Linked DNA regions of Schizosaccharomyces pombe. The protein of the gene in region 3 binds, or shares a complex with, the protein of the main gene of each other region. Each region holds a gene or a part of one and is shown on either strand. Other genes may lie near its edges.

What was found.
Region 1: mrpl37 (region 3) and mrpl25 share a complex: the UniProt entries of both Schizosaccharomyces pombe proteins name them as parts of the mitochondrial large ribosomal subunit.
Region 2: mrpl37 (region 3) and mrpl1 share a complex: the UniProt entries of both Schizosaccharomyces pombe proteins name them as parts of the mitochondrial large ribosomal subunit.
Region 4: mrpl37 (region 3) and mrpl15 share a complex: the UniProt entries of both Schizosaccharomyces pombe proteins name them as parts of the mitochondrial large ribosomal subunit.

What each region holds. Positions count from the first base shown.
Region 1 is NC_003424.3:4,991,564-4,998,860, forward strand, and holds mrpl25 (mitochondrial 54S ribosomal protein mL59), read right to left. Parts: upstream 2,945-7,297; 5' UTR 2,882-2,944; coding exon 2,483-2,881; intron 2,372-2,482; coding exon 2,333-2,371; 3' UTR 2,061-2,332; downstream 1-2,060. Other genes in the region: lipin, phosphatidate phosphatase Ned1, read left to right, coding at 143-1,771; meiotic recombination protein Rec24, read right to left, coding at 4,467-5,200, 5,341-5,608; rga9 (RhoGAP family GTPase-activator protein), read left to right, coding at 6,054-6,156, 6,212-6,372, 6,425-7,171, 7,214-7,297. UniProt on the Schizosaccharomyces pombe protein: Component of the mitochondrial ribosome (mitoribosome), a dedicated translation machinery responsible for the synthesis of mitochondrial genome-encoded proteins, including at least some of the essential transmembrane subunits of the mitochondrial respiratory chain.
Region 2 is NC_003424.3:1,788,313-1,796,079, forward strand, and holds mrpl1 (mitochondrial 54S ribosomal protein uL1m), read right to left. Parts: upstream 4,140-7,767; 5' UTR 3,932-4,139; coding exon 3,170-3,931; 3' UTR 3,088-3,169; downstream 1-3,087. Other genes in the region: ftp105 (Ubp5 interacting protein Ftp10), read left to right, coding at 1-134, 187-1,380; protein saf5, read left to right, coding at 2,313-2,966; poly(A)-binding protein Crp79, read right to left, coding at 4,281-5,639, 5,711-6,185, 6,277-6,454, 6,540-6,660. UniProt on the Schizosaccharomyces pombe protein: Component of the mitochondrial ribosome (mitoribosome), a dedicated translation machinery responsible for the synthesis of mitochondrial genome-encoded proteins, including at least some of the essential transmembrane subunits of the mitochondrial respiratory chain.
Region 3 is NC_003421.2:1,252,257-1,259,861, reverse strand, and holds mrpl37 (mitochondrial 54S ribosomal protein mL54), read right to left. Parts: upstream 5,545-7,605; 5' UTR 5,318-5,544; coding exon 4,898-5,317; 3' UTR 4,636-4,897; downstream 1-4,635. Other genes in the region: bye1 (transcription elongation regulator), read right to left, coding at 1-1,228; SPOM_SPCC645.12C (uncharacterized protein), read left to right, coding at 1,590-2,186; protein mug117, read left to right, coding at 2,369-2,929; cca2 (ATP/CTP tRNA nucleotidyltransferase), read right to left, coding at 3,069-3,212, 3,272-4,582. UniProt on the Schizosaccharomyces pombe protein: Component of the mitochondrial ribosome (mitoribosome), a dedicated translation machinery responsible for the synthesis of mitochondrial genome-encoded proteins, including at least some of the essential transmembrane subunits of the mitochondrial respiratory chain.
Region 4 is NC_003423.3:4,360,729-4,368,353, forward strand, and holds mrpl15 (mitochondrial 54S ribosomal protein mL57), read right to left. Parts: upstream 3,064-7,625; 5' UTR 2,955-3,063; coding exon 2,322-2,954; 3' UTR 2,154-2,321; downstream 1-2,153. Other genes in the region: SIN component scaffold protein Sid4, read left to right, coding at 1-26, 247-2,114; SPOM_SPBC1539.02 (uncharacterized protein), read left to right, coding at 3,288-4,448; arg41 (argininosuccinate lyase), read right to left, coding at 4,657-6,039. UniProt on the Schizosaccharomyces pombe protein: Component of the mitochondrial ribosome (mitoribosome), a dedicated translation machinery responsible for the synthesis of mitochondrial genome-encoded proteins, including at least some of the essential transmembrane subunits of the mitochondrial respiratory chain.

The DNA.
Region 1 (7,297 bases), on a different chromosome or scaffold from region 3:
ACAAAAGTAAACTGGGGCTGACTTGTCCGGTGGAAAACAGTTATGTGCAATATTTTAATGAATACGGTATCAGAATTCTGCACAACTACTTTCGGCTTTTAGTTTATCTCAATCACGAAAATTACTAACAGTCTTGCTTTAGAATGTCACTGAGCCTCAAGATCTCGAGCTCGATAAAGTATCTCAGGATCATGAGAAAGATCAATCGAATACCTATTTGATGGAGGACGGTTACGAGTTCCCTCTTACTCGAGATTTAATTCGCCGTTCGAAATCCGATGCCGATCAAACACCTCCAACCGGCTTTAAGCACCTTCGACATTCGAGTTGTTTGGAAATGGCTGGAAGTGATAGAACTCCGTCGATGCCTGCAACAACGCTAGCAGACTTACGATTGTTACAAAAGGCAAAGGAATTGGGGAAAAGGCTTTCTGGGAAAGAACTTCCTACACGTGTTGGGGATAATGGTGATGTGATGCTTGACATGACAGGTTATAAATCTTCTGCTGCGAATATAAACATTGCAGAGTTGGCACGGGAAACATTCAAGGATGAATTTCCCATGATTGAAAAGCTTCTGCGTGAAGATGAAGAAGGTAATCTGTGGTTTCACGCTTCTGAAGATGCCAAAAAGTTTGCGGAGGTCTATGGACACAGTCCTCCTGCAAGTCCATCTCGCACTCCTGCGTCTCCAAAGTCCGATTCGGCTTTAATGGATGAGGACTCTGATTTAAGCCGTCGACACTCTTTATCTGAACAGTCTTTGAGCCCAGTTTCCGAGTCATATCCTCAATATGCTAAAACCCTTCGTTTAACCTCTGATCAGCTTCGTTCATTAAATTTGAAGCCCGGTAAAAATGAGCTTTCCTTTGGAGTCAACGGGGGTAAGGCCATTTGCACTGCTAATCTTTTTTTTTGGAAACACAACGATCCTGTCGTTATATCGGACATTGATGGAACAATTACCAAATCTGATGCTCTAGGGCATATGTTTACCTTGATCGGCAAGGATTGGACTCATGCTGGAGTTGCCAAATTGTATACCGATATCACTAACAACGGCTACAAAATTATGTATTTAACTAGTCGTTCGGTAGGCCAAGCCGATTCTACTCGACATTATCTCCGGAATATTGAACAGAACGGATACTCTCTACCCGATGGTCCTGTTATTTTATCACCTGATCGCACTATGGCTGCTCTTCATAGAGAAGTAATTTTAAGGAAGCCAGAAGTATTTAAAATGGCTTGTTTGCGTGATCTTTGTAATATTTTCGCCTTACCTGTTCCTCGAACACCATTTTACGCCGGCTTTGGCAATCGTATTACAGACGCAATATCTTATAACCATGTCAGAGTTCCACCAACTAGGATTTTTACCATTAATTCTGCTGGCGAAGTCCATATTGAACTGTTGCAGCGAAGCGGTCACCGAAGTAGTTATGTTTACATGAATGAGCTTGTCGATCATTTCTTCCCTCCCATCGAGGTTAGCACCCGAGATGAAGTCTCAAGCTTTACTGATGTGAATTTTTGGAGATCTCCTTTGCTTGAACTTAGCGATGAAGAAGAAGACGATACTAATAAAAGCACATCCAAGTCGCCCAAAACACCCAAAAATACGAAATTCGGATATCAAGAATTCGAGGGGATTGACGAGGAAGATGCTCAAGATTATTCTCCTAGTCCATTGATTAAGTCTTTCAATGAATTAATGTTTGAAGGTGAAGAAGATGAAGAAGGAGAAGAAGACGTTGAAAATGCTGTTTGAAGTTGCATTTTCCCAATTTCCGATGAAAAAAAAATTACTCGACTGTCCATCTTTTTTTTTAATGCCCCAAAATCTTAAAATCACTTTGACGAATTTCCGTCGGCTTTGAAATGCACTAATAAGCTTAGAAAGTTACATAAATCATATAATGACTTACTTACTCATTCACAAGTAATGAGTTTTGAGAAAGTGCTAAATATTTTTTTTATATTTAAATGCGCTCTTCCTAAAAATTAAAGATAACAAGATACTTCATAATGAAAAGTTACGAATAAATCACATTCTAAAATCCTAAGTCTGCAGATTCAAAACCTAATATTTAAATGTAATTTAACTATTAAAGTAGAATCATATTATTAGTAAAGATTACAAAAATGTATAGACTAGTATATTAGTCTTTTTATCATGCTGCACAATAAAAGACTTTTAGTAAACACATAATTGAGGTAATATAGCAGTAAATTTAAATGAATCTTTAAAAAAATTTAAGGAAGTCATAAACAAACAGGAATCAAAAGGTATTAACAGTATTACGTGAAACCCACTTTGCAGAAGAAGAATTTAGAAAGGAGAAGGTTTCGCTATTTTGCTAGCTTTTTGCTAAAAAGAGTGTTAATAAAGACAATTAAAAAAATAATAATAGTAAATTTTTCACAATCAAAATCAGTAGATAGAAATAAGAAAATCATGAAAGTACAACAGTTTACATACGCGCTCATTTTTAAATTTAGAAGTTTTCTTCAATGATTCCGAAAGTTTTAAACGCCTATTTTCCAAAATCTCATCCCTCTTTCGTTCACTAATTTTTCCTTTAGGATTCAGAAGACCTTTCAAAATATGGCGTGTAGAATCTTTCTGCCATGACATTTGTTGGGGGAGTAAATTATCCAGATTCTGAAGCCTGGCCTCTTTATATATTTCAGCTTGCCTTCTATTGGAATAGTAAGGGTTGATTACAAGGCCATTCTGAGGATTTCGAGTTGCGAGAAACGGATTTTGACGATTTGGATTTGTCGTCCATGCATTTGGATTTTCAGGCGGAAACTTTTTAAAAAAGTTTCCTAATTGGATAGGAAGCCGTTCCAAAGCTTCCTTGGTAAAGACTGGCATGATAAGGTTAAAACCTCTTTAATCTATAGAGAAGCTCAAAAAGACAGTGAGTCAAGCACTATTAGTATTAGAAAATACATTGACCTAAGATGTCGGCAAACGTTTAACTGCGCTATATTACGTTAAATCAATCATTACTGTTCATTCTTGAGTTCTTAATCGAAACTTTTCATCGTTTGAAATATTAAAAGAGTTTATTATCTCAGACAATTCTAAGCCAATTTATTGACTATTAGCGTTTATTAGGTCGGACTAATTCTTAGTTACTCAATTTAGTTCCAATGGATATACTAATTAATATAATATTACGGTGTAGCAGTACTATAGTTAATAAATACAAAATTATCCAGGGTATTATTTTATACAAATATAAAAATCACTAACATATTTCGTTATTATGTATATCGTTGTTAAATTAGCAACTATACAAACTCCTTAAAATATTTTACATACTGCGTAGATGGCTTCCTCTCGCATTAGTCCCTCTACCTTAGGCATCTTTGTTGGGTTGCGTTATTTAATTATTGAAGGCTGACAGTATGTGTGATTGTGTTCCGCCAACGTAGCATTCAAACGCTTTCAATCATTATCGTTTTTAGTTGTGATTGCTTCTATGATTCCATCAAATGAGGCCCGTTCAAGTAAGCTGTGTGTGGTTATAGAGTTTCTGATGCCAGTAAAATTATCATATCAGATCATGTACGGATTCCTACTGACACATGTTGAGAGTAAGCAAAAAAAGCTCAATCATGCTTATTTTGAGTATTTTAAAACATAAATAAAAGTAAAAATTATTGTAGGAAAAGTCCGGTCATCTCTCGATGACTCCAATTAGTGGAGAATATAAGAAATACTAAAGGAATTATTTATAATGACATGTAACGCAGTGTGACATAAAGTTAGTAGTGCATAGAACTGTTGGTGATATCAAGTTGACAAGGAATCGATAAGACGCTCTTTAATGTTGAATATTAATAAGCCCTGTAAGTATCCCTGTTCTTCTAGTTAGGTCTATAGCTGAAAAACCTTCAATTCTCTGGAGCTTGTGTGGTTTTATCCATTATCACTTCCTTCGATTTATCCCTCGTAAGGAATAGGATAGCAATGCGTATAGATCAAATCGCGGATTATGAATGAAGGCTTGTGCGATAAATTTCCTTTACTTGATCAATAATCTTGTTGTCAACGCGTTGTATTAAATGCGCTTTATTGGAAAAGAAGAAACATAGCTTGTTGATTGAAATTCCAAAGTTTCTTGTAAACGAATTTGGAAAGCACTTCTGTACTTGAAAATAATACAAATTGGCCACTATATATTCGCTTTTTTTGTTCCTTTGTTTCTTTTATCCATCAATTTTTAAAAGCAGAAAACCTTTCCCTTATGCCCAAGATTTAAAAGGGAACATAATATCAAAGTTCATCGAATGGATATGATGATCAACACTTTCACCACAACGTTCTTTGTACATTGAATTTCCAGAAAAATTCCACCAAATGTTGTGAATATTTTAGGATAACAAAAGGAGTCAAATTGGAAAGGCAAGAAATGAATGTGTGTTAAATAGTGGCCCTCAATATATTACTATTAGGAAATGTCTTCGGGAAATAGCATATCTTTGAGGCCAATCAAAAGGATGGATGGAGCAGAGTAGGCACTCTTAGACAACTCTTGTTTATCAGTTTGTAATTCTTCATTTGTGATTATGTCTCTTAAGATTTGGACACATTTGCTTGCGGCAGATGAAAGCTGAGCATCGAAGGAGTGTAGACAAGGGAAGTATATCTCAGCGTACGAAAAAAAACATTCACTATATAACAACCGGATAGATGGGTTATCGTTTTTGCAATATGTGAAGCATATTTTCATCCGTTTAACAATTTGATCTAGTAATTTTTCCAATTGCTCTACGGAAGCGAATGAGAGCTTGTTAAATATCAGTTGCTCCAAAAATACGTAAAATTCCAAAAATTTCGCTCTGGAAATCACTCCAGTTCCATTGTTGGCATTGTTTTGCATAATCGACTGCGTGATTATAATGAGATCCAGTACATAATCTCCCAATTCAACTAGTCTTGTTAAAACCAACGGCGACTTACAATCTCTTTTAAGAAACATAAAAATTTCTTCGAATAAAGTTTTAATGCGCAAAAAATCCGCACCCTCGTATACTTTTGTTTGCTTCAACTTTATGTCAGCAGTGCATTTTAAGAATCGAAAAAGTCCATTAAACGTGTACTCAATATCCAGATGCGCAAGGCTTCCGGATGTTTGCCTCTTTTCCTGAAGATTCTCGTGAACATTGGTCAGCAAAAAGATATCTAGATTGGATTGTTAACGAAAGAAAATTCATACTATTTTAGATCAAAAAGGCTTTCTTTAATATAACTAATGCTTTAGATATAAGAAGATATACCGGCCTAGTATTGATGGATTTAATAAGCATCGTGCAAGTACTTACCCATATCCTCGATTTTTTTAGAGAACGGTTTGGCTTTTAAAGCCACACACTCTGTAACATTACTATTTTTCAAAACAACATCTTTTTTCGTCTTTGGGCGCGGTTCCAATAATGTTGACGCGTATTTTTCGCAATGTTCCTGATCCTCAATTCCTTTCCGCAATGCTTCTATGTAGTCTTTGATATTTTTTCCTTTCGGTTTTTTTAAAATTATCTTCCATGCTATTGCTATTTTCAGTGTCTCTCCCGACGAATCGTACGTGTACATTGTCTGTATGAGTATTTGTTTACTATTGTCTTCAGTATTTGTGCCATTCATTACAGTTTACGATGCTTTGTACTGCACTATGTAATTTGGTTTGTTTACATCTCGTCGCGACGAACCCACTTAAATACCAACATCTACATGACTCTTTACAAAACCAAAATTACATATTAATCACTGTGAATAATATTTAATACCGCTTTCTTTGTAAGTGATTTTTTGAAGAAGTTTTTCCTTCAGTCCTTCTTGGATTATTTGGAGTTGTAGGAGAATTCTAATCCTCAATGTCAATTTACTGATTTATCTGTAATATTTTTTAAACTAACGTTTTTAGATTAAAAGAGAACTCTTTTGTAACTACCTTTAATCTATTAATTAGCTGGCACTCAACAGAAGTACATAGATATACTTAAGTGTATTGTACATCAGACATTTTTATCAAAAAGATATGTGGGACGGCTTTTCAAATTCGTTCTGGTCAAGGGATTATATTACGGGAATAAATCGTGCCCAACGTTTAATCAACGAAGGTGTTGAACAAAACGAAAAGCGTATGCACATGAATTCTTCTTCTTGTAATAACTAATGATTTAACAATACGTTTAGTATTACAGTTGTTACATATTAGAGCAAAGTCAGCTTCATCTTGTTCTGACTTGCTGTTCAAATCGTTTTCAAAATTCAATAAGCACCATCCTTTAAATGAAGAAAGCAATGATCTTCCTTCTGATGCAGCCATACACCAGCTTTATGAAAGCTATTTAATGGTATACTTTCAATCGTTACTCTTATGGTCATTATCGCTAATATTTACAATAGGAAGCGTCGTTGCACAAGAAGCTTGGGGAGCAATTAAATATATTGGTAATAAATCCTTTTGCAAATTGGTCAAAGAAATATTCTAGAAGGGTAGATGAAATCGTTTCAGCCGCAATTGTCAAAATAAACAACTACAATTCACGTTTCTCTCATGTAAACAGCAAGAAGTCTAATTTGACCGACCGAAAGCCAATTCCTACCTCTCGAAAATCTAATAAATCCGATTCTCTTGCTTCTGCTCTGTCTCAGCTGGATATTAATCCTTCTAACGTTAATAAGTTTGATGGGTTGATAAACATAGTTGATCATCCATATACCGCTGAGGAATTTGCCAATGTATTATTAAAGCTTATGAAGGCGTCTACTGTTAAAAGAAAATCTTATTCTCATCTCGGTGACTACGAACTTGTTACAAACTGCTCTCTTCTATTTGAAGCCATCAAGACAACATTTGGTTTGGAAAAAGATTCTTATGTCGTTAAAGCTGGAAACCAGCTGATACAACATGGCTTAATAAGGTTACTTGGCATTCGTCGAGTTTTTGAAAATGATCCGGAGATAGATGCTCAATTTACTACAAAATCACAGCAACTATTGAAAAGTTATCATTTGAGTATTCTTGAGGTCGATCCATATTTTCAAGTAAATGATCCTATAACAGCTACTAATGATGATCCTGTTTTACAAAAGTACAACCTTGCTTATGACAATTTAGAGCAATGCCGTCATGAATTAGAGTTATATTTGGTATTGAGCATTATTCTTCTTTCATTTGCTAACCCTTTCCAGTTTATGGTTTTTAAAGATTTAGAACAAGCTGAGCTTGATCGTTTGAATGCTGTCAAATCGGTTTTGGTTGAATGTTCCAACTAT
Region 2 (7,767 bases), on a different chromosome or scaffold from region 3:
TTATCGTTCATTATTTATCATGCGAGAAGGTTCTTTGTGAAAAACTAAATAGAAACTGTATGAATGCACAATCATTGATGTCTTCCCTTGGGTTCTCAGTCCCACCAATGTCTTATGCAGAGTTTTTGATTATCGTAAGATTCACGATTAATTGTTTATTTTAATTTTATTACTTACGCCTTCCAGTCTAGCTTTCATATTTCAGCAGTGAAGAGATCTCCGTTTAGCAGTTTATCTCCTGTTATATTGTTGACCATATGCAATATTGCACCATTTGTTGAAAACCTAAGTTTCGTTACGTGTGCCAAATTAATGCAACTCTGTTCATCTCTTTCATCTCCTCGGTTTCTTTTTCGTAATCCGCGCAATCATCTGCTTCTTGAATACCTGTTACAGGCTATTTCTAGTATAGTTGAAAACAAGTTTTCTCAAAACCCTAATCTCAGTTATTCTATTATTCGCCTCCAGCAAGTTTTTTTGAATCTTAATTCTATGAAACTTCCTGCCGTTGCTCAGACTAAATCACAGCCTTTAGTGGCCCTCAATTCGGAAGGAAGTAGTGATTTTGAATCTAAATCATCCGATAACACCTCCTTAGATGGAACACCACTCCAAAATACTGACTTTAAAAAAGTTGCTACCGTTGAAGATGATTCACCTTTCGATGAATTAGATAAATTTTCCTCCCCTTTTAGTAGCAGTAGTTCACGCGGTGGCTTATCACATATTTCGAGTAGAAATGTTTCGATTTCTGTCCCGACAGTCCTTCAAGATGTATTCTCAGATTCTCCATTGGTTCTGTCTAGAAAGTTGCGTGGGAAAATACCGGAAAATGTTTCTAGTTCAGAACTTATTAAAAAATGTGCATCCAATCCGTTTGGAAAAGATTTAGAAATTGACTCAAATTTGTTTGCACCTTCCAACTCGTGGTTTAATTCTTGGCATTCAAGACTTGAATTGGATTCTATTCTAGCCATTATATCTCAGTTTTCTCTACCTGTATACAAGAAAATGAATGAAGAATTATCAACTACTGACGAAGCTGTTAAACTATTAGCTAACTCTGTGCTAAATGATGTACATCCTCGAGTTCCCAATTTTCGCTACTTTATTTGGAGTGTCCCTATGAATAATTGGTTTCAAAGTCTTGTTTGGCTTTATACTTTGTCATTTGATGAAAAAGGTTTAATGGCTACTCCCTCTTTATTTACAACCTCTAAAGTGTACAAACAACATGGAAATATCATGAAAGTTGCATCTCCTGAAAACAGTTCTAACTCAATGGAGAATGCCACAAAATCTATACTTGACAAACTCGATTTGCTGTATTTACAGCTGCCAAGTAGTGTCAACCACGATTCCAGTTTACGCAACAAGTGATTCTTAAATTCAATGCGTAAATTAAAGTATACTTTTGTCCTAAAAAATATTTGAAGAAAACCCTGCATGCATGTTATGGTATCTTACTTTGAAAATTTATTGATTAAATTGTTCACTAAAAAATTATCTTGGAGGATTTGCATCCACATACTGCCATCATTTAATTATATACTGATGACCAGAATCTTGCCTTGCTAATTTTGATTTTTGAACTTTTCGATTTGTTTTCATTCTATTAATTAACTAAAAACTGGCTTGGAGAATCTTCTGCTCCAACCTTGTCACTAGCTTTAAAAAAGTCTTTCGAAGTTTGATTTGGAAAGTTGGTGTTTGAAAGTCAATCTCGTATACTTTAGAAAGACCCACCTTTATGAGAGAAACGATCCACTGATGCTAATTCATTACATGTATCCAAATCAATGTATAACCTTATATAGCAATGAATTGGTTGCTAAAAAATTCTTAGCTTTATTTCGCTACACTTATAAATCTGTTTACTATATAAAATAAAAAATCCAATTTCAAAAGTTTTGAGTCCCAATTTTTTGGGTAACGAGGATTACTTCATAAAGACCTTAGACCTTTCCTTTATTTTTTCCACAAAACTATTTATATTCATGAGTTTGTTTTGTAATTGCAATGAATAACTAGCTTGTCATTTACGAAAATTGCATATCAAAAGTATTTGAGTAAAATCGATATCCTGTTTGGCATAATGGTTCAATTTATAAAAAATTCGTGTGGTTAAGAGTAGAAATATATTTTCGATTTTGCGAAATGCTTAATATGCGAAGATATTGTATTTGAGTACTTCAAAAGAATACAACGCACAGTAAACCTTTTCTTTCAATAAATTATCAGGTAGAGGTGGCCTTATTACTGTTTTTTAATAATTTTTATGCTTAAATACCTATTGGAAGCAAGAAGTAATTATGATTACCAAAATTGACTCACTTCCAAAGGACCTAATTCGCAAAGTTGAAAATGGTGAAAAGTTGTTGCCAAATCAAGAAATCGTTTATTTTGAAGAAAAAACAGTCCCCTATAAAATTAGAAGTGATGAGGAAAGTTTTCCTTTGGGCAAATTGATAACTTTATTAGTAACTTCACAGAGCTTTATCCTTTTTGATGAAGAACAGAATTCTGGCTGGAAAATTCCATATGAAACCATTACTCTTCATGCGAAACAAAGCAAGGATAAGCCATATGTATATGTTCAATTAGAGGGTGAAGCCATTCGACCCTTGCTAGATCACATTCTTAAATTTGAACGGTCGTCAGGAACATTGCATGAAGCTCCTTCTACCGAAGATGAAAATGAATTCACAGATGATTTTTTAGAACTAACATTATATGTTACTGATGTTGATTCATGTTACCAGGCTCTTTGTACTTGCCAATCTCTACATCCGGACACTTTTTCCTCAGATAATGATGTTGAAAACGCGAGTATGGGAAACCCTATGTCCTTATTTTTTGATCCAAATCACCAGTGGGTTACGGCTGAAAACGTAGATACCTCAGCTTGTGATAACAGATTTGATTCTCCGGAATCGCCTGTTCTGAAATGGCATCGCACAGAGTAACTTTCATAATGTTGTATTCTAACGTTTCATTCATACTTTTTAAAAAGTAGTTTATGATAATAAATAAATATAAACAGGCTTCTAAATTTACTAGATAAAATATCATTACACATTTCACTAATTTGTACAAAATTAATCATGTAATACATATTACAAATGACAAGACTGTAGACTAAATTTCCCATGCAATAACATTTTAATCATTATTTATACTGGAGAGGAATTGCAATAGCATGTGAGGCGGAAAGATGAACATGCTTTACGGTAACTTTAACTTTTCCAGGCAGTTTGGCCAAAGTAAACCGAACATTTGATACAAGTGCTTCGATGTTTTCTTGTAGCTCCTTGTCGCTGAACCCTAGTTTTCCAACCGGCAAATTTATCGAGCCTGCATCATTTTGCCGATAGTCAACAGCTGTGAGGGCAGATTCAATGAGTGGCTTCAATTCATCTGATATAGTACCTCGTTTTATTGAAGGCATAAGACGTTTTGATCCTAATAATTTAGCAACTTGTGGTAGTAATTCTGCCGAGTTGGGATGAGCAAAGCACTTTGAAAATTCAAGGGGCTCTGTTTGAATTTTTTTTACTAAGTCTTCTGCACCAACATAGGTTGCACCCAATTTTAAAGCTTCATCTGCAGCTGCACCTTTAGCAAACACACAAATTTTAGGAGGCTCTTGAAATGGATGAGGAAAGGCAATTTGACCACGAGCTGACGGAGCGCGTCGATTACTTTTTAAAGCAATTGAAAGCATATAAGACCCAACATATGGAACAGAAATGCTCACAGATTTGAGATATTTTGTGGCTTCAGGAACTGTCATCGCAAGAGCGGGAAAATTGGATTTCTTGTTTAGTTGAGAAATAAACCTTTTGCAGAAACCCTTTTGATTTTTAAAATTTAAAAATTCATTATGTGACAATAATGTTTGCCGTTTACCTAACGCTATTAATGAACTCATGGTTTTTAATCTGGTTCGTCAAACTGTCACCAAGCTACTGGATGTCAGTCAATGAACCTGCTAAAATCATAAATCTCTAAACAAATCTGATCCAGCTGTCAACTTTCGAATTAATAAAGAATTATCTTTCAAATCAAATTTCCTTATAATGTTTTTGATTAAAGACTAAAAATAAACGGTTTCGTTTAAATTCCACGTTGTGGTAGTTGTAAGATACTGTAGGGTTATACTAGCAAATCCATCCGTTCACGATGTATATATTTTAAGGAGTTAAAAGTTTGTTCATCGGAGTTTTGAGGGATATAGCATTATGAATTTTGTTTCATAGTTATATCTTCACCGCATCTTGTTAAATCTGCGTCAACTGAATAGTTGTTGGTGAATTGTTGTTAACCTTTGTTGTTGATAAAAAATTTTCCTTATTTGAATCTTTAATATGATAGGAATTCATTTTTTGGATATTGGATGTAGCTTCTGGATAGCTGTCCATGTACCCGACAAGTGAAAGCATGTTCGTTGACTCATTACAGTCCTCATCTTGGAAATGTGAGGGCTCAACTGTTACGTACGTAAGAGTTGTACAGGTTGTTGCTCTTGCTCTTGGCACAAAGTATGCATTACTCAGCTTTTTGTTGTGAAGCATGTCTTGTATCTTCTTCAAGTTGGTGGCTGTTGAACCCATCTTAGCAGACCCTCGGTTATTTAGTTTTGTGTTAGCATGGAATACCAATGGTTTTAACAAGTTTCCTTGTTCTCCGTCATGGCTCAATTTTCCTGCTTCTTTCTTTATATCCAAGTTGCCTGATAACTGTCCACTAAGTTCCTTATTTTCTTGCTTACAGTTAACATATTCATTTGTCTGACTGGGTTCTTTGTTTTCACCAGTCTTAGGCTCATTCTTATTTTCAACCTTACTTGAAAGGGTCGTGGGATTCTCAGAGATTTTGTTTGTAGAAGACTCTATTGGCTTTCGGATGGTAACAGTAGAGCTTCTTTCTGGTTTGACGAACAAAGCTTTGTTGTCTTGCTGCGCTGTTTGTTCTGAAGTAGGTTTGTTTGCAAAAAATGCTTGCAATCTACGAATTCTGTCAGACTTTCGCTCCGCGAAGCAAACGAAAATCCTTTTTTTCCCAACCATCATTCCATTCAATGTGTCTTTGGCTCTAACGGCAGCCTCTATTTGACGAAACGCTACGAAACCATAACCTTTGGAGATTCCTGAATTTGGATAGCATGCTAACATGGAAGACAAAATCGACCCGAAGGGTGAGAATAAATCTTCCAGCTGACTCTTGCATGTGATGACGGTATCATCTAAATTTTTAACGTATAGATTTGAAGGGTCAATAGGAGAATTAGGGATACTTGGAGAGCTTTCACGTAAAGAGTCCCAATGCACGATTGACTGAGGTTTATTATCTGGGTTCCAAGCGGCTGGATGATTTTGCTGATTTGAAACACCGGTAGTTGAAACGCTACCCCATTGGCTTTTCTCCTTAGTTGGTGAGCCCATAATCCATGTCATCTTCGAACATGTAGCATTTTCGATATTTATTTGAGTTTTGTTAGCGTTTTCCGATGGGAAAGGCCATAAGCTTTCACCAGTCGGCGTTGTGGGAATTGACTTCACTGAAGAAGAGGCTTTATTTTTTATACTGACCTCTAAAATGCTTCCTTTGTATGGAACGTTATTTAATTTTTCTATTGCCTTAATAATGAGGTTAGTATCATGAAATAGATTATGCAAATATTGGGGTTTTCTCTTCATATTGAGCTTACATTTTGACATGATTCAACTGAATCCATAATCACTTCGCCATACCGGAACCCTCTTTGGTCAAGAAACTGGCTGACCGCCGTCCCTTTTACTACACCAGCCTGTTTAAAGTGGTTATATAAGTCAATCGGTGTGACTTCGGCAGGTAGGTTCAAGATACTAAGGGGTAACGTAGAAGCGAAGGCATTTGGTACAACTTGCATGCTAATATCTTCCAAACCAAGAGACGGTATGGTAAGCGTTGTTTCTGGCTTCGGGTTACGCGAATTTATGCCTCTCACAGTTTCCCAATTTCTTTCTTCGACATTTGGAATAAATTCCTTAATCTGAGACTGTTTGAGTCCTGGCTTAACGTTTTCCTCATCTGTATTGTTTTGGATGCTAGGATTGAACACGTTCGCAGTGATTGACGTATCGTTAGGTTTGAATTTTTTGTCTGTCAGTTTCGCAGGATTTACGACTCTTGCTTTAATGGTCCTTTTTTTTAGGTTAGTAATTTTTTGGAGAATGATTTTTCGATTTTTTTTTCTGTAATGCTTGTCTCTAATTTTTCCCTTCAGTCACTTACAATTTTCTTTGGCCCAGAGTCATTCCTTTAGCGTCCTTTAGAACTTCTTCAATGCTTTCAGCATTAACGAATTTGACGAACCCATATTGCACTCCATTTTTAGGAGGTTTAAAAGGTTTCGCTTTTTCCTTAGGATAAAAACTATCAAGTAATCGACGAAAGATGGATTCTACTTGTCCTAAAGAATTGATTAATATATCGCTTTTATTTATGTTTTCTAATGTTTTTCCTCGTGTTTTTATCCTTGACTTGTGTGTTCATACCATATTTTGAAAAGTGTTTGATGATTTCTTCATCAGAAAGTCGGGAATCTATATTTCCTACATATATAGTACTGCTTTCATCTTCATACTGTCCGGGGACAGAGAGTTTTGAATTGTTCATTTTATCTCAAAAAAGATGTGTGATGGAAAGGAATGGTTGTTGTTTTTGGTATATATAGGATCGCTGTTTGTTTACATTTCGATGATGCATGACTGAAACTATTACCACCATAACAAATGAGAGTAAACAAACCTTAAATTGACCTCTTAACATTTTTAGAGTAATATTTTTTGTTTTTTTTTAAAAATGCTTGTTTTATATTTACAACTTGATTTCCTAATATTCATGCAGTTTGGTTCATATCTGTTTTATCCATATCTCTACTAAATCCTCAAATCGCATTTATAATGACATTTTATTTTATTTTATTATTAAAGTCAATATTACCTGCTCGCATTAAAAAATATTTCAAATTCATACCATCCTTTTTTCGGCTTTCGCTGATTTCAAATTAAAAGTTGAATTTCCTTAAATGAATCAAAAAGCAATTAGGCTAATATTCTGGTGAATCCATTCATAAATTTTCAATTATTGTTGTTTTTGGCAAACCAACTGATATCGCACAACCTGTCAATAAGTTAGGTCAATCAGTTTATTACTCAAAATCCAGATGTTACTAAATTCTTTCATCTGCTTTTTTCTTTGGTTTTCTTTGATTTTAGAAGTATGATAGTTTAGAGCTTTACTCGCCTATATTCTTTGCTAACTAACTATACAGTATTTTACTGGCAAAAGGTAATAGATTTAGATAAAATAAGTTTGAATCGAATGACCATTAAAGTAAGTGAAAAGCAATAGGTGAAGATTTAGTGTAATCATTAAAAAGGTTATAAATGTTAGCAGTTCTCCAATATTAAGAGCAATTTATGTAGCTCATTTCAGTTCCTTCTAATCCATTTTAGACTTAAAGCTTCATTCTGTCGAATACCGTTTTCTTCAAATACTTGTATAAACCTCGGATTTTGTCACTGTTTATGAACAATGAATTCGTCTAAATTAACAAAATGCAAAATTCTTTGTTTTTTTGTTTTTATGATTGTTTGACTGAACAAATAAATAAACATATACAGATTTAAGGGTTAACAATATCCAATGATTTTCCAAGAATATTATACTGCTGGGTTAAGGTATTTTGATATAACATCTACGACACTACTCAATAGACAC
Region 3 (7,605 bases):
CTTCAGAAAGAGGATTATGTTCCGGTAAAGTAGGACTTTTGGAATCAATTGTGGGCTCTTCTTCTGCAATTGAAATTGGAGCTACAAGCTCTCCAGGAGGTTTGGGAAACATCGCATCATCGTTTTCCGCAATACCAAGTTCATCTTGTTGTGTAAGTTTATCTTCATCAAGTAAACGATCTCGTGGAGCAATCAAATGTTGCTTTATGACTGTGTTTTCAGTACTTTGTTGACGAATTTCCTCAGCTAGGTTCTTCAAGTCAGGATTAGCCATTTCTTCACTGGATAAGTTGACCAGATCGTTAAAACTAATTTCATTTTTTAACACGCGCGCTCGAAATGCCGGGTTTTTGTCATCAACCAAGTTGAATCGTAAAGCACGAAACTTCTCTCGATATTTGTTGTTCGGAGTTAACGAATGATCAGTTGTATACGAAAGCACCATAAACATAATATGCTCAAGCTGAAGCGCTAAGGATGTAGAATTAAGGTCTTCTAATCCTTGCACACCTTCAAGTTTTGCTTTCTCAATGATTTTTTCAAAAACGGAAACCCAGGCTTTGGCAACACTTTTTCTAACAGGGTTTTGAATTTCATCGATAGAAGTGTGTAAACTAAGCTCCTTTTCCTGATCTGCAGTTTCATTGGAAGCATCCTTAGGAGATGTTTTTGGTGCATTCTTGCTACGTTTGGTATGAGTAGCCGTCGTACCAACACTGCCTCTTCGTTTTCGAGTTGAAGGTGGAGAATGAGAACTTTTTGGTGTCGTGGAGCCAATAGGAGTCCTAGGAGATTGTCGACCAGACCTAGTAGTCATTCCAACATTAGAATTTGTCGAAGCAGGCTCGGATGATTCTAGTTCAGCGCCTGACTCTTTAGTAATCGCCTCTTTTGAATCAGAAGATACAACATTATTTTCTTCATTGTTTTTCTCGTTCCCTTCATTAGAGGCAAGTAAATCAGCTGTCTGATGCTCTTCATCCTTATTGGGAGAATTTTGTACTTGTGATGAAACGTCGCTTCGCGAATGACAAACTTCACAATAGTAGCTTTCAGGTATATCCTTATCCGCTAATCCAACGCAACTGGCATGTTGCCAGCAATCACACCCATCACATTGAACCCACGTATCGCCAATGTCTTCTTGCGATTTACAAACACACCGAACAACAGTTTCAGGAGGTTTTTCTGAGGCTTTTGCCGTCCTTCTAGTGCTTTTTCTTACCATGCTTCGTTATTATGGGAATAAAAAGTATTTTGATCAATGACATCTGTACTTCAAGGTTAATACATGCAATTCGAATAACAAGTGATTGAATGCGTACTAAATAAACTGAGGAGATTAAAATATATGCATAACTAAACAAAAGTCGTTCCTGAAGTGTTTAATATCCTCACAAAAGCTCGTCAAGAGTTCTAAAAAACAAGGTGTTGGCAGGTATGGGTTATTGGCAAGTGGCAGCAGTGTTGTAGTTTGTTATAGCAAAGGTGCAAAATCTGCGAAAACTAAGGATACATGCTATTTTATAGTTCGAATGCAATATTTTACGATTAAATGTGAATATTGTTAGAAAAGGAGCTTCAAAAATATGAGTAGTGCACGAGAGTTACTGAGGAAAGTAAAACAAGAGCGATTAGGGCAAAAGCGAGGTCTGAAAGCCTCTAGTCAAGAACTGAAGCGTCAGAAGACGAGAGATCATAAATCATTTGAAAATTTAGGTCGTGATCAATCTCGTGAGCTGGCAGTAAGTGATTTTAATGAAAAGCAATCTACAGAACCTCCTAAGGATACACGAGCGGTGTCCGCACTTCCAGAAAACTTTTTTGATGAATCTATTGCTAAAAATAAAGAACTAATTGAAGAAGAGTGGAACGATTTTCAAAATGAGATTGGCATTATTGAGGAAAATGCTGTTGAACAAGAAATAACACTCCAACAGCAACAGTTATTGGCCGAAAAGGATGAAGAAAATGAAATTGCAGATAATGATTTAGAACCAGAAGTTTATGATATTCTTTATGAAGAAGAAAGCAAATTGGGTGAGTCGAGGGATCTTATCCGTCGTTTGAAACAAAAAAGGTTTGAAACTAAAAAAAATAACTTTTCTGTTAAAGAATCTAGCAATTTATCTAATAATGACTCGGATGCTTCACTAGATGAAGACACCTTGCTTTGGGGTTTGTAAAGCTCTGTTTACGATCTTAAAAACAAACAAAAATATTGACACCAACTAAAAGAATACTGTTTATATTACATATTCTTTCCTTAACCAAAAGAAAAATATTAATTAATTAAGAATAATTGCAAATAAGAAGCATTGCTTTAAACACTTTTGCATATTTAATATATATTAATATTTCGGAAGGAATGTGGAAATTTTGTTGTGTAACAGAGAAATTAACTTTGTTCCTATTCATATACGGAATCTGCATTTACATATGCATTGCAGTCCCAATTAGAAGTGATCTTAGTACTGTCTTTGAGCCAGAAGCAAAAGGCTCTCGAATTACTTCAAACTATCGAAGAAGTTTATTTAACATGCTTGGATATGATAATTCGGTTCATCCTAATAACTGTAAGGGCTCATTTCTTTGCCCTATGCTTCGAGGAGAAAATCGTGCGTGTCCGAACGCGTACATGAAGTATAATAGATCCTTGATCTACCATGGATATTCTTCTTATACAGCTAGTTCTTGCACTGCCATTTATGAGTGCGAAGGTGATTATCCAGCACGCACAGGCAACGAAATCATTGATGAATTTGATCAATTAAATTTGCAATGTTCCGCTTGTGGAACTCGTTTTTTTAATAATGATAATGAAAACACAAGATGCTATGTCAAATTGAACTACTGTTATCCAGACTGTACCGAAATTACACCAAGCACCAGCGAATACGATTATCGAGAGCCGGTTAGAGATTGGTAATAATAAGAGGAAAGGATCCATTCTGAATTAAGCATAAATATCATAAATACGAATTTCCAAAAAGGACGACGATTACTGGTGACTTTTATTCTTTTAATCTTTTGTGCGATTAAGTTATCTAAACAGTGATTGTCTTTTCTTATATTTTTAGGGATTGAAGGTATGCAACACAATCTTCGACACTTCCTTCAGGGTGTTTAAATTGCCAGGAAATCATGTTATCCATAGTCTCTTTCAGCTGCGGGCCAGGCTTAACTCCCACATTTTTCATGATCTGTTTTCCCTAAAAAATTGTTAGCTTATTCGCTCAATATTGTTAACAGAAATAAAAGAATTACATACGTCTAATAATGGCTTCATGTTATAAGCATTTTGTAAATTTTTGTCATAAATAAAGTCATATAGAGATTTATAAGAACTAAATGTATTTGATACAGATGCTGCCGGTGTTTTACAACAACTATATATGACCGATGTTAAAAACACGACTTCCCAGGATTTATTCAATTGTCGTATTAAGCTGCCAATAGATGAGCAATTTTTAGTGGAAGTATCGTTAACTAATTCATCGAATATCGGATTGAATGTGCAGCACTGATTCAACTGGTTAACATATGTACTTCTGAGCTTCAACTTGTCTTTTGCGATGATTGCAGGAATATAAAATTGTTTTTTCTTAACCATAACAGTTTGACTAGACCATGGAATTAGAGCAACATATAGCCATAGCCCAATTTTCTCATCTTCACTTAATTTCATAAGTTTAGGAAACGTCAATGCAAGACTCTGAAATAAAGACTCGGTAGCTTCCAATGCCTTTGGAATTTGAAATTCTTTTTCAGCTGGCAAAGTATCGAACGTAAACTGATACGTGTTCGTTGAATATAACAGTTGAAGTGCTAGCTTCGCGTTTGCACCCTTCAACATTTTCTCAATTTCCTCTCCTACACGTTCCTTGCTAACCTTTTTTTCAAAAGCTTTACATACTTTCGGATCTTGGATAGCGGAAACGACCGACGGATCAATTGTAAATTCAAATCTGGATGCAAACCGAATGCCTCTCAAAATTCGTAAGGGATCTTCCAAAAATGATTGGAGAGGTGAAATGGGCGTGACCAACACTTTGGTTTGCAAATCTTTATATCCTCGCTTTGTAATGTCCTCTATTTTTTCTGTTCGTATGTTAAAGAATAGGGTGTTAACCGTGAAGTCTCTTCTCAATGCATCTGTTTCAACAGTTCCTGGGGTAACGCTAGGAATTCGACTTTTATCATCATATGATTCTGCACGAAGTCCTACAAAATCAATATCAAGGTCAAATAGGGATAAGGTAGCAGTTTCTAAATGCTTGCTTTGATCGGGATTGACAGTTAGCTTGCCAAGTGCGTCTTTATATGGAATAACTGAGTCAGAGTCGAGAGAGTGAACATACTCAAATATTGAATTTGCAAAGTCAACACCGGTAACTTTATTCAACGTAACGTCTAAATCGTCACTAGAAAGCCCAAGAAGTTTATCGCGAACCCATCCTCCTGCCAATCTAACTTCCAATGACGAACTGCTGCTGGATTTAGATTCAATAAAATCAGCAGTCTTTTTCAAAAGATTAACAACTTTTTTCTCAACATCGTTCAATACAATTCTAGAATACATTTTCGTCAGCCAAATTCCATAAACGATACACAGTTTGGGCAATACCGGTTTCTCTAAGGTTGGCAGGTTGAGGTTTGAATATGCTTCTCTTAAAGAAGGACATGTAGTAGTAATTTTTTTTATGCTACAAATGTATATCACTGATATAAGGTTATTTAATATATTTTTATTTTAAAATGATTTTTGGATTCTGGGAAATGGTAAAGTAGCGAATGTCATATGCCTCAAAAAAAGTAAACAAAAAGAATGGATCAAATGCTCATAAGGATAGAGAGGAGATGGAAAATTAAGAGTTTCAAACATTCTAAAAGGTAATTATTTTTTAGTAAGAAAGTTAGCCGCTCGAATGGCACTTTTACGAGCATGACTTCGGGCAGTCTTAGAATTGGGAGCTGGCTCATCCAGAAGAGACCATAACCATTCTGGATATTCATGATCTTCACGAGCTACAGGGTCGACGCCACCCGCCTTTATACACAGTCCCTTTAATATAGTACCTGGAAGGACAGAACTAGTGTGCGTTTTATTAGCGACTTTTTGAGCTGAAGAAGTGGCATCCGAATTATGCTGTGGCTTTTTGGGTGAAACACGAGAGGATACATAACTTCGTTTAACTAATGATGAAGAAGAGTTACGGGAACTTCTTAAAACCAATGTGTTAGAGTAGCATGAGAATTGAGAGATACCGCGAGTAATTGCGCGCGATAAAGGGGCCATTGACTCGATAAATGGCATTGCTTAGACAGTAAACAAAAAACTTTGCAAGGAGGATAAAATCTTTAACCAAAAGTGGATCAAAGGCGATGAAAAAGGTCAATAGTAACGCCTTCGCATATATAAGGAGCAAATACGTCCTGCTCTTTGAGTGAAAAGTTTTAGAGAATAATATTATTTCAAGTACTATAGGAAATAAAAAATGACTCTATAAAGAGCCGCTTTCAAAGTTCAAGGAGTTTGGTTATGGGACAACCTGGACGTTACTATACAACTCATGTACAGATGGGTAGCAGACACAGGTACATGTAAGGGTTTCAAGCGTCTGTTTACAATTTGGGAATCAAAATAAAATTTTTGTTTTTGTTTTTTTCATAATTATAAACTATTGCTAAGTTCAAATGGGGTGTCGTTCTAACAAGAATGTCATTAAGTTTACAATAATAATACCAAGCACGCTTGAGTACTATAGGAATACTTATGAAATAAAGTAAAGCACAATCTATCAAGTGAGACTCTAGAAATGTTAATCGAAAATTGTATTTGTCTGTGTTCGACTATGTAAGAAAGTCAAAGAAATAAAATAATATGATTTATTTTTACAATAAATCATTAGCACATTAGAATATTTCTACTTCATTCATTTTTCTCAACTTGCAATGTTTCTTCGACAATCACTTGATTGTTGTAAATGGTAAAGAACCATTAGGTGTTATTTGGGATATTGAGGAACAATCTAGTAGTACGGTTTAAATAAAGAGAACATATATAGATTTTAGAATTAGTATTCAATTATGTTTAACGTTATGTCCTTCATTCGATACGTCAGAATTACCATTTTTTTTACTTGCGAAATGTACTTATTCCACACAGTTAGCGACTGATCCATTGAGGATCGAGAAGCGCTTGCAATCACTTTTTGTTAAAGAAAAATAGATTTACAATAAATTTGACAAATTGTACTAGTCGGTGTCTTAAGTCACTCGGGACAATTGAAAAAAATAAATCACTGACTTGCGAACTCTTCTTAGTTAATAGTTACACCTTTATGGGTGTTTTCTTAAAATTTCGCCAAGTTTTACTTTAGATAGAACATAAATCATTTAAAGTATTATCCATCTCATGAAAACAATAAAAAATCTGCAAGAAGATCAATAAACAAGCTTTAACCATCAGGTTATTCTCTTACTAGAATTTCATTATTTGCCTCGATAAATTCCTATAACATATTTCTCTAAGGCTCTTCGATATTCATTTTACAAATAAAAAAAATCATGCCGACAACGGCAGGATTCGAACCTGCGCTCCCAAAGGGAATCCGCTGGGCTACAGAATAGCAGGCGAACGCCTTAAAACCACTCGGCCACGTTGTCCTCCGTTGAGACGATTAGTATTAAGTAGATTATGTATTTAAATTTAATAAATTTATAAGAGATTATTTAGTGTACCGAAATAGTTTTAAATTCATTTATTTAGTATATTTTTGCTTATAACATTTCCGGTTCATTTTGGAAACGATTTAAATAAAGAAATTTTACAATTTTGTAAAAATGTATGCTTTCAATGTACAATTACGATTTTCCCTATTTTGCTTTTCTTACACTGAAGGAAATGCTTGTGATTTCCTCGATCAATATTTGATATCCTATTTTTTTCCCTCATTTATTTTCTGGGGGTTTTTTTTTCTTTCATCCTGTAGAGAAATTGTATATACTTTCTGTTTATTTCTATATTACTATAAGATGGGGATTTAGTTTTAAATAGTAATGAACCAAATTAAATTACATTGAACTTATCAATAGTATTATGCTTTGTGCTTCTGCGATTTATTTTTTTTATTTTTTAAAATTATTTTAATTTATTTTTGATGATTCGGGATTGCTTGTTAAAATATTCTCTTGTCAGCTTTCTACATAGTGCCATTTAAATATAGGTAAAAGATATTGCAATTGAAATCAACATATCTCCTAGCACAATATTAACCATTTGCGAATCCATTTAATAAATAATGCCTATTCCTACCATATGCATTAAAAAAAAAAAAAAAAAAAAAAAAAAAACACTTTGAATATTTATTTAAGCAAAAAGTATAATGTTTAATAAATGGTTCCATGAGATTTGATAAACTGTTCATTTGATGGTGTTTGACCTTTATATACTGCTTTAAATACACGTTGGAATTATCACAAAGAACAAGAACTTGTTCAGAGCTAGGATTCGAAAATAGAAATAAGTATATTTACACTGAATAAGTTTACTAAATATATGTTTTTTAAAATTTTATGTTTAAATATTTGGCGCTGTGAAAA
Region 4 (7,625 bases), on a different chromosome or scaffold from region 3:
TATATACTTTGACTCCCTTGACGAAGGTAGGTAAAGTTTAATGTCAACTTGTATTGTGAACTTTTGAAAACACTGGGTAATTACACTCATGCCGTCTTCTTCCATCTGTAGATGAACTAAATGTTTTCTATTTTAAGAGGGAAATTGGTTTATGACATACATTTTGGCTTGAAGGGTATTCACCTGTAACGTCCATATACTTTTTCGAAAAGTCTGTCAACTGAAAATGTAACTAATATTATGTAGATGCAGATCCGTCTCGTACCGCTAGAATTGATCGAATAGCTGAATTGTTGGATGGACTTAACGATGAACAAATAAGTGAGCTTGTTAATGGCGTAAATAGTACTACGATTAAAGAAAACACCAAAAAAGAAATTTCGAACCCCAATGACTCTACAAGACTTCCTTTAGAGCAAATACCAGGTTCAAACAACTTATTTCTGGATCCGCGTCATCAACTTGGTGATAATAGTCAAAATGCTCAAAGACATCATGAGCCTTCGTTTAACTCGGAGAAAGCATCTTATACTAGTACACCTTACAAGAATGTCGCCCCGAAAGTGATTGATTCACCTAGTGCTCGTCATATGCACTCCAATTCACCTTCATTTCCACCTTCTCAATCACACACCAGCTCTTATGACCAAAGTCCAAAAGGACAGCTACGAGATAATATTAGTGTTCCTAATCAACAAGATGGATTGGACCCTGAAGTGTTTAATCAGCAATCTAAAGAGACTAAAAAAAGTTTACAGGTTCCACCAAGCCGTAACGTACCACCCCCAGTCACTCGCCCTAATCAATATAATCCTGAGCCTAATTTTTCTTTGAGTTCAGGTTATCCACAACAACATTTCTCACAGCCGGAGCTTCAAAATCGGAATGTTCATTTGGAAACTGTACCAGAGTCATATCCAGTACCGCCTTCTGGCTATCCTCTTACTTCATCTACATGTGTTTCTTCTATTAGTCAACCTATCCAATCTACGGATTGTCAAAAGGCTCAGGAAAATCTTTCTAATAATAAACAGATGTCGTCGAATGATCAAGACATCGATCCTTTTAAACAAGCCATTACCGATTTACCTCCTTCTTTTGTTAATATTGTTTTGGAGATGAATGCCACAATACAATCCTTATCAAATCAATGCCAACAAAGAGATAAACAGATTGAAAATATAACCAAGCAATTGCTTATGAATCAGCAGGATTATTGTCCCACAACAATGTCAACAACTGTTTCTACTCCACTTTGTCCTCCAAAACGATTCCCTAAAAGCACAAAAGACTTTAAAGAGCAAAAACCTGATACGAAGCAGGTACGATCTGCTACTATTAGCAATGATTTTAACCTTAAAGGCAACGGAAGGTATAATGAAAAATCTCAAATTGCGGTTCCAAGTGAAATACGAGTTCAGCTATCAACACTTGATGCTATTCTTTTGCAATTTGAGCACTTGCGTAAGGAACTTACCCAAGCCCGTAAAGAGATACAAATTCTTCGGCATACTTCTCAAAATGGAGATCAAGAATCAAATGAAAGCTCAAAAAATGCAATAACCACAAAGACTACTGACAAAGGAAATAATAAGGAGAATACTATGCTGAATGACGGGTCTACAGCCCCTGCAAAAAATGATATAAGAAATGTTATTAATACCAATAATCTTGATGCAAAATTGTCAGATGAAAGTGAGTTAATGATCGAAAAGAACAAAAGCTACTCAACACCTGCTTCATCTACCATCCCTACTTTCCATACCTCACAGCCTCTTACTTCCTTAAATATGCCTGATTCTAGATTTAATCTGGCTAAGGAAAAACAACTTTATTATCGGCTAGGCCTTCAGCATATAGATCAACAGTGTAGTGTTGAAACAGCCAACATGTTGAAAACAGTTTTGGTCCAATTAAATATCCCTTTTGCAATTTTTCCTTCTACCATCGGACAAGTCAGACGCCAGCTGCAACAAGGTCGTAGACTCTACCAATGGGCACGAAATATCCATTATCTAATATACGAGGAGAATATGCGTGACGGTTTGGTTTCAAAACAGTGTTTAGCAGATATGCTGAAAAAGATAAGGGAGCTTAAAAAACGTAGTTTGTGAATGGATGCCAATGACTTACAACTCGATCAATAAGATTTTGGGATGCAGCTTATATTATACAAATGTTGATAAATATGAAATATATTATTAACTACTGACTGAATGAAAGAGGCGTTAAATAAATCGATAGTAATAATAAGCGTATGGCAAAATGTACTATATTATGGCATCCTTTGCATAAAGAATTTTATCCTGCTGCTACACATCTTATTGATTATGCACGGTATTAGGTCTCACGAAATCTTTTGTCAAATCTGATATGATGCTTTTCTTACAAAAATTCATAGCCTCAACTCCGCCTTTTTGGAAGTAAACGACAGCAACAAGTCCGGAAACAATACTACTGTATATCTTTTCAAAACTAGACGAAGATGGAGAATTAGGCCCTTTTAATGGCAAAATACATTGTGTGGCAGTTTCAGGATTCCATTTTTTTGCAACTTCAGCGAGTCGAGCAGGGGAACGAAGATTTACTAAATCCTTGTATGAAGGTATTGTGCTAAAGTTTCCTGATTCCAAATAATGATTAAGTAAGCAAACATCGATAACTGCATTTCCAACCGAAACGAAAGGTTCATTATATCTTTTCAGCCCATGTTTATAAGATTTATGAGTTACAATTTGTTCTCTTAGAGATTTGTCTGAGATGTAATTTTTTTCACCAAAAACACGACTGAAAAAGCTGTCAATGTCTTCTTCTGTAGATGTCATTTCATATCTGTACTTATTTTCATTACACGCAATTTTCCCAATTCGACGGACACAATTCCATGATGATGATCTGAACACAAATTTATTTTCAATTTGAAGTCCTAAACGATTACAATGTCTTGTTAACATACGGATGGCATAAAATCTTAGAAAGAGCTTCAAGTTCCTCAAACCCTTGTATGGAAAATCAACTTTTCGAAAGAAAAGATATCTGTTTTCTGCAACTAGAATATAGGTTGTTTTTAAAAAACATTGGCCGATTACGAAGTAGTAAAATAGCGCACTACGCTTGAGATCACAGTGTACGAACGTCAAGGTATGCTAATGTTATCAAACTGTTTCAATAATTTACAATTTATTTTGTGTTTTACTGTTAAGTGTATATAAACAACTACTACAAAGTTATTCCAAAGAAACAATTAATTGAAAGGATACTGAAGTTTTGGTTGAAAATTTGTCACAATGAACCAAGATGATTTCAGAAAGCTTTTAGCTACTCCAAAAGCCGAAACCTCCCAGTTAAAAAATTTCTCATCGAATAAAAGTCAGCGACTTGTTTTTGGTCGTAAACATAAGACGGCCAAATTGGAAGCACCCAGAGCCCTAATTAAAAGAAAACAACTAAGTCATTCTACATCGTCAGACATTACGAGACATTCTAATGCAAAAAATTCAGGGAAAGATACTCAATTTTATGAAGAGCCTTCTTCCAAACAGGATATTGAGTTGCACAAATTGCACGAGAAACTTCGCAATGGCCAAATTACGACAAAAGAATATTCAGAAAAATCTAAAGAATTAGGCGGAGATTTGAATACAACTCATCTCGTGCGTGGTCTTGATCGAAAATTGCTTGAAAAAGTTCGCTCTAATGAGCTAGCCTTGGATGATTCTCTGCTTTCTTCGAGTGAGAAAGAAGTTGACGAAGAAGCAGACAAGCTTTTAGAGAAAGTTGCTGAGGAGTCATCACATCCTGAATCTGTTTCTATTCTAGAAGAAAAAAAGAAGATACCTCTTTATCCTAATGGACAACCGAAATATCGTAAAATTTTGGAAAATGGAAAAAAAGTTAAATATTTGCTTGATGAAAATGGTGAAATCCTAAAACGGCTTGTGAAGAAGGAAAAAAAGTTAAAAAATGATAATGAACGTTTAGAAAATGAACATAGAACCGAGAAATTAAACGTGAACGCTAATAGCTTAGGGAAAAGCTTTGTTAAGCATGATATACCACTTCCACCAGTTGATTTGAAGCTCGATATTTTCGAGGAGGTTGGAGAATATGATCCTTTTCATGAAAATGATAAAGAGCCTGCTGAGTTGAAGGCGAAGGATGCTTTTCAGCTTAAAGGTCATCATGAATTGGATGCGCCTTATCATAAGAAAGTCTTTGATACAAATCAATATAGCGATCTTAAACCTACGAATTTTATGTCTCAAATTCATCGACTTGCCAAAGTTCAGGAACGCAAAGAAGAAGAAGAGCGAAAGAAAGGAAAAGACGGACAAATTGTTGATGCAGGTTTCGGGCTTGTATTATCAAAAGACGATACAGCAGATATTCACGAGTTAGGGGAATCTGACGATGATGATAATGTTAAAAGGAGAAAGACGAAAGGTTAAAAGTACTACTTCATTCAGTATGAATATTTACGATTTAAGATTTAAGTTACGTGTTTTTAAAATATTATTATGAGGCTACAATTATTTATTTGCCCGTTTTACACCAAAAAACCTCGATTCGGGGAATTATGTTGAGGAAGCCCTGTTAAATGATCAAACGAACATATAGAAAAAGTAAGTATATCCATATCATTTCATGTAAACTTATCTACTCCAAGGCCTTTTTAATGGTTTGGATTTGTTCTAATACACAACTCTTAGCGGTACCACCAATCGCACAACGCTTCTCCACACTGGATTCATAGTTGAAAACATCTGCAACATCTTCTTCATATAATGGGTGTAGCGATTTAAAATCTTCAACACTTAGCTTATCAATGGTAGTGTTTCTTTCCTCGGCCATTCGGACAGCGGACCCGGAAATATGATGAGTTTCACGAAAGGGAACACCTTTACGCACAAGGTATTCTGCCAAATCAGTCGCTAGCATGTCCGCAGTCAAGCTCTTAGCAATATTTTCTGGATTTACAGTTAAAGTAGAAAGAACTCCGGTTAGAATTTGAATGGAATCCAAAACAGTTTTGGAAGAATCGAAAAGCGGTTCTTTATCTTCTTGGAGGTCTTTGTTATATGTTGAAGGAATCCCTTTAACCGAAACCATAAAGCCCATCATGTTGCCAAAAACTCGGCCAGACTTTCCACGAAGAAGTTCTAAAGAATCGGGATTTTTTTTTTGAGGCATAATACTACTTCCAGTTGAATAAGCATCGGAAAGGGTAACGAAGTTGAACTCAGAAGTAGAATATATAATAAGATCCTCTGCCAAACGGGAAATATGGGTCATTACCATACTAGCCCAGAACATAAATTCAATAACATAATCGCGGTCAGCTACAGCATTCATTGAATTCATAATAACCCCTTCAAAACCAAGTTCCTTTTGTAAGAACTTACGATCTACGGCGAAAGGATTACCAGCAAGTGCACCAGCGCCTAAAGGGAGTCGGTTGACTCTAGAATAAATTTGTTTCAAGCGATCCAAGTCATTTAATATAGAAAAGGCATGAGACAATAAGAAATGGGACCAGCGAATAGGCTGGGCTCTTTGCAAATGAGTGTAACCGGGCATAATGATATCAAGGTCAGACTCTGCACGAGCAACAAAAACTTGGAGTAACCCAACTAAAGATTTTTGGATGATGTCCAACTCATCACGTAGCCAAAGGCGCATATCGGTCGTAACTTGATCGTTGCGACTTCTTCCTGTATGAAGCTTACCAGCAATGCCTGTACCAATTATTTCTCCCAATCTGCGCTCGTTAGCAGTATGGATATCTTCGTCAGAAGGTTGAAGAGTGAATTTATTTGTCTTCCATTCATCTCGGACAGCCTCTAAACCATCTAACATTTTATCCAATTCATCAGCACTAATGATTCCGCGTTGTTCTAATGCCTTAGCATAAGCTTTCGAGCCATCAATGTCGGCATTGAACATGCGCTTGTCATAATGAATAGACTCATTATAAGCTGTCATCAAGGGATCAGTGGCGCCAGTAAATCTACCGCCCCAAAGTTTTTGTGAAGAAGCCATTCAGAATTGTTAAAACAGAGTCAGTTTTTCAAGTTTTCAACCAACGCAAAAAGGAGGTAGTACTACTTAAAATTTAATTTATCTAATCTTTTGAGAGTATGGCTATATGACCGTGTAACCTCTTCCTTATCGCAACCTATTGTTATATCACATTAACGATACGGCGATAGATATGAAATTGATATTATAATCGCTATAATAAGATCTAACGTATTGGAACGTATAAACACTTAATAAATGTTTACATTCCGCTTCGTTATTTCTTTCCTTAAGTTTACAAAAGATATCATATATGGAAGCTTTGGTTGGAATCTTACTGTATAAATGTACTCAACCTGAATGATTTGTTTTGTCTTTCTGATTTATTAACTCAGAGCTACCAAAGAATTTCGCGAGCATTAGCTTAGATTTAAGAAAATTGACTGTTATAAAGATTGAGAATTCTTAAAAGATTTTCTTGTTAGTTGTGATTGTTTTTTCGATTTTTATTAGAACGATATTTATAGATGCCTGAAAACTCATTGGTAGATAAGTATTGTTTTCTCGTTTTTACTAGTGTCTGATCAGACTAAACTGGTTTAAACATTATGATGCATCTTCCGCCCAATTTCTTTTAAGATAGCTAACGAAAATCAATTAAAATAAACATGGACCAACCGAGTTTATGAATCCACCAAATATAGTGGGATTATAAAGAAGAAGAAAATCAACGAAGAATAAAGTGATAACAGTACATGATTTTCCTTTTCCCTCTTTACTTTCGTCTCTTACTGCCTTAAATTATACACTGCATTTCAAATTGTCAACTATATTATTGATTTCTTTTGGCATGAACACATATAGGGCGTATTACTTCGACAGTCTAACATTTACTTATACCAAGCTTCTCAAAATTCGTTTATAGTACTCGTCTTCGCCAACAAATAACTTAACAATTTACGTATGGATATGTTGTTAACAGAACGTCTGGACTCAAAACGGAATCCACAAAGTGTTATCTTCGAGAATACTCTAGAGCCAGTTTAGATCTTGCTAGTTATTTTTAAATAGAAGTTATTGAAGGTTGCCGAGCAATACAAGTGTGATATAGTAATGTTGAATCTGAACCATTTATTGTCCACTAGTAAATGTGCAAGAATTAATCCATTTATTGTTTCCATGTAAAACATAGAACAGATAGCGTAACAAACAACATCGTACTTTAGCATTTCACTTTGAAAAATTTTAGTCAGAGCTTCTTGTACATTGTTATCAAGGGTCGTAAATGAATTATGTTAGCTTTCTGGAGTGTCTGCTAGACTTAAACAATTGGATTTTAGAAAACTAAAGAGTGTAGCCCCTATTTAAATCTATTTAATTGTAATAGCTTGAATGCTACTCAAAGGCGTAAATCCTTTTTTAAGCGCTTATATTCCTGCTAAAAGAATTCTAGTCAAAACGTGTACTAGCGTATTTCACAGAAGTTCCATAGGTTTTCTTTTTCTGATGTAGGAAAATTTAGGATCTTCCATTGGTAAGCGTACATTGTACTCTATCACAACTATTACAACATACTTTTTGCTGGATATTAACTTAACAAAAGCCAC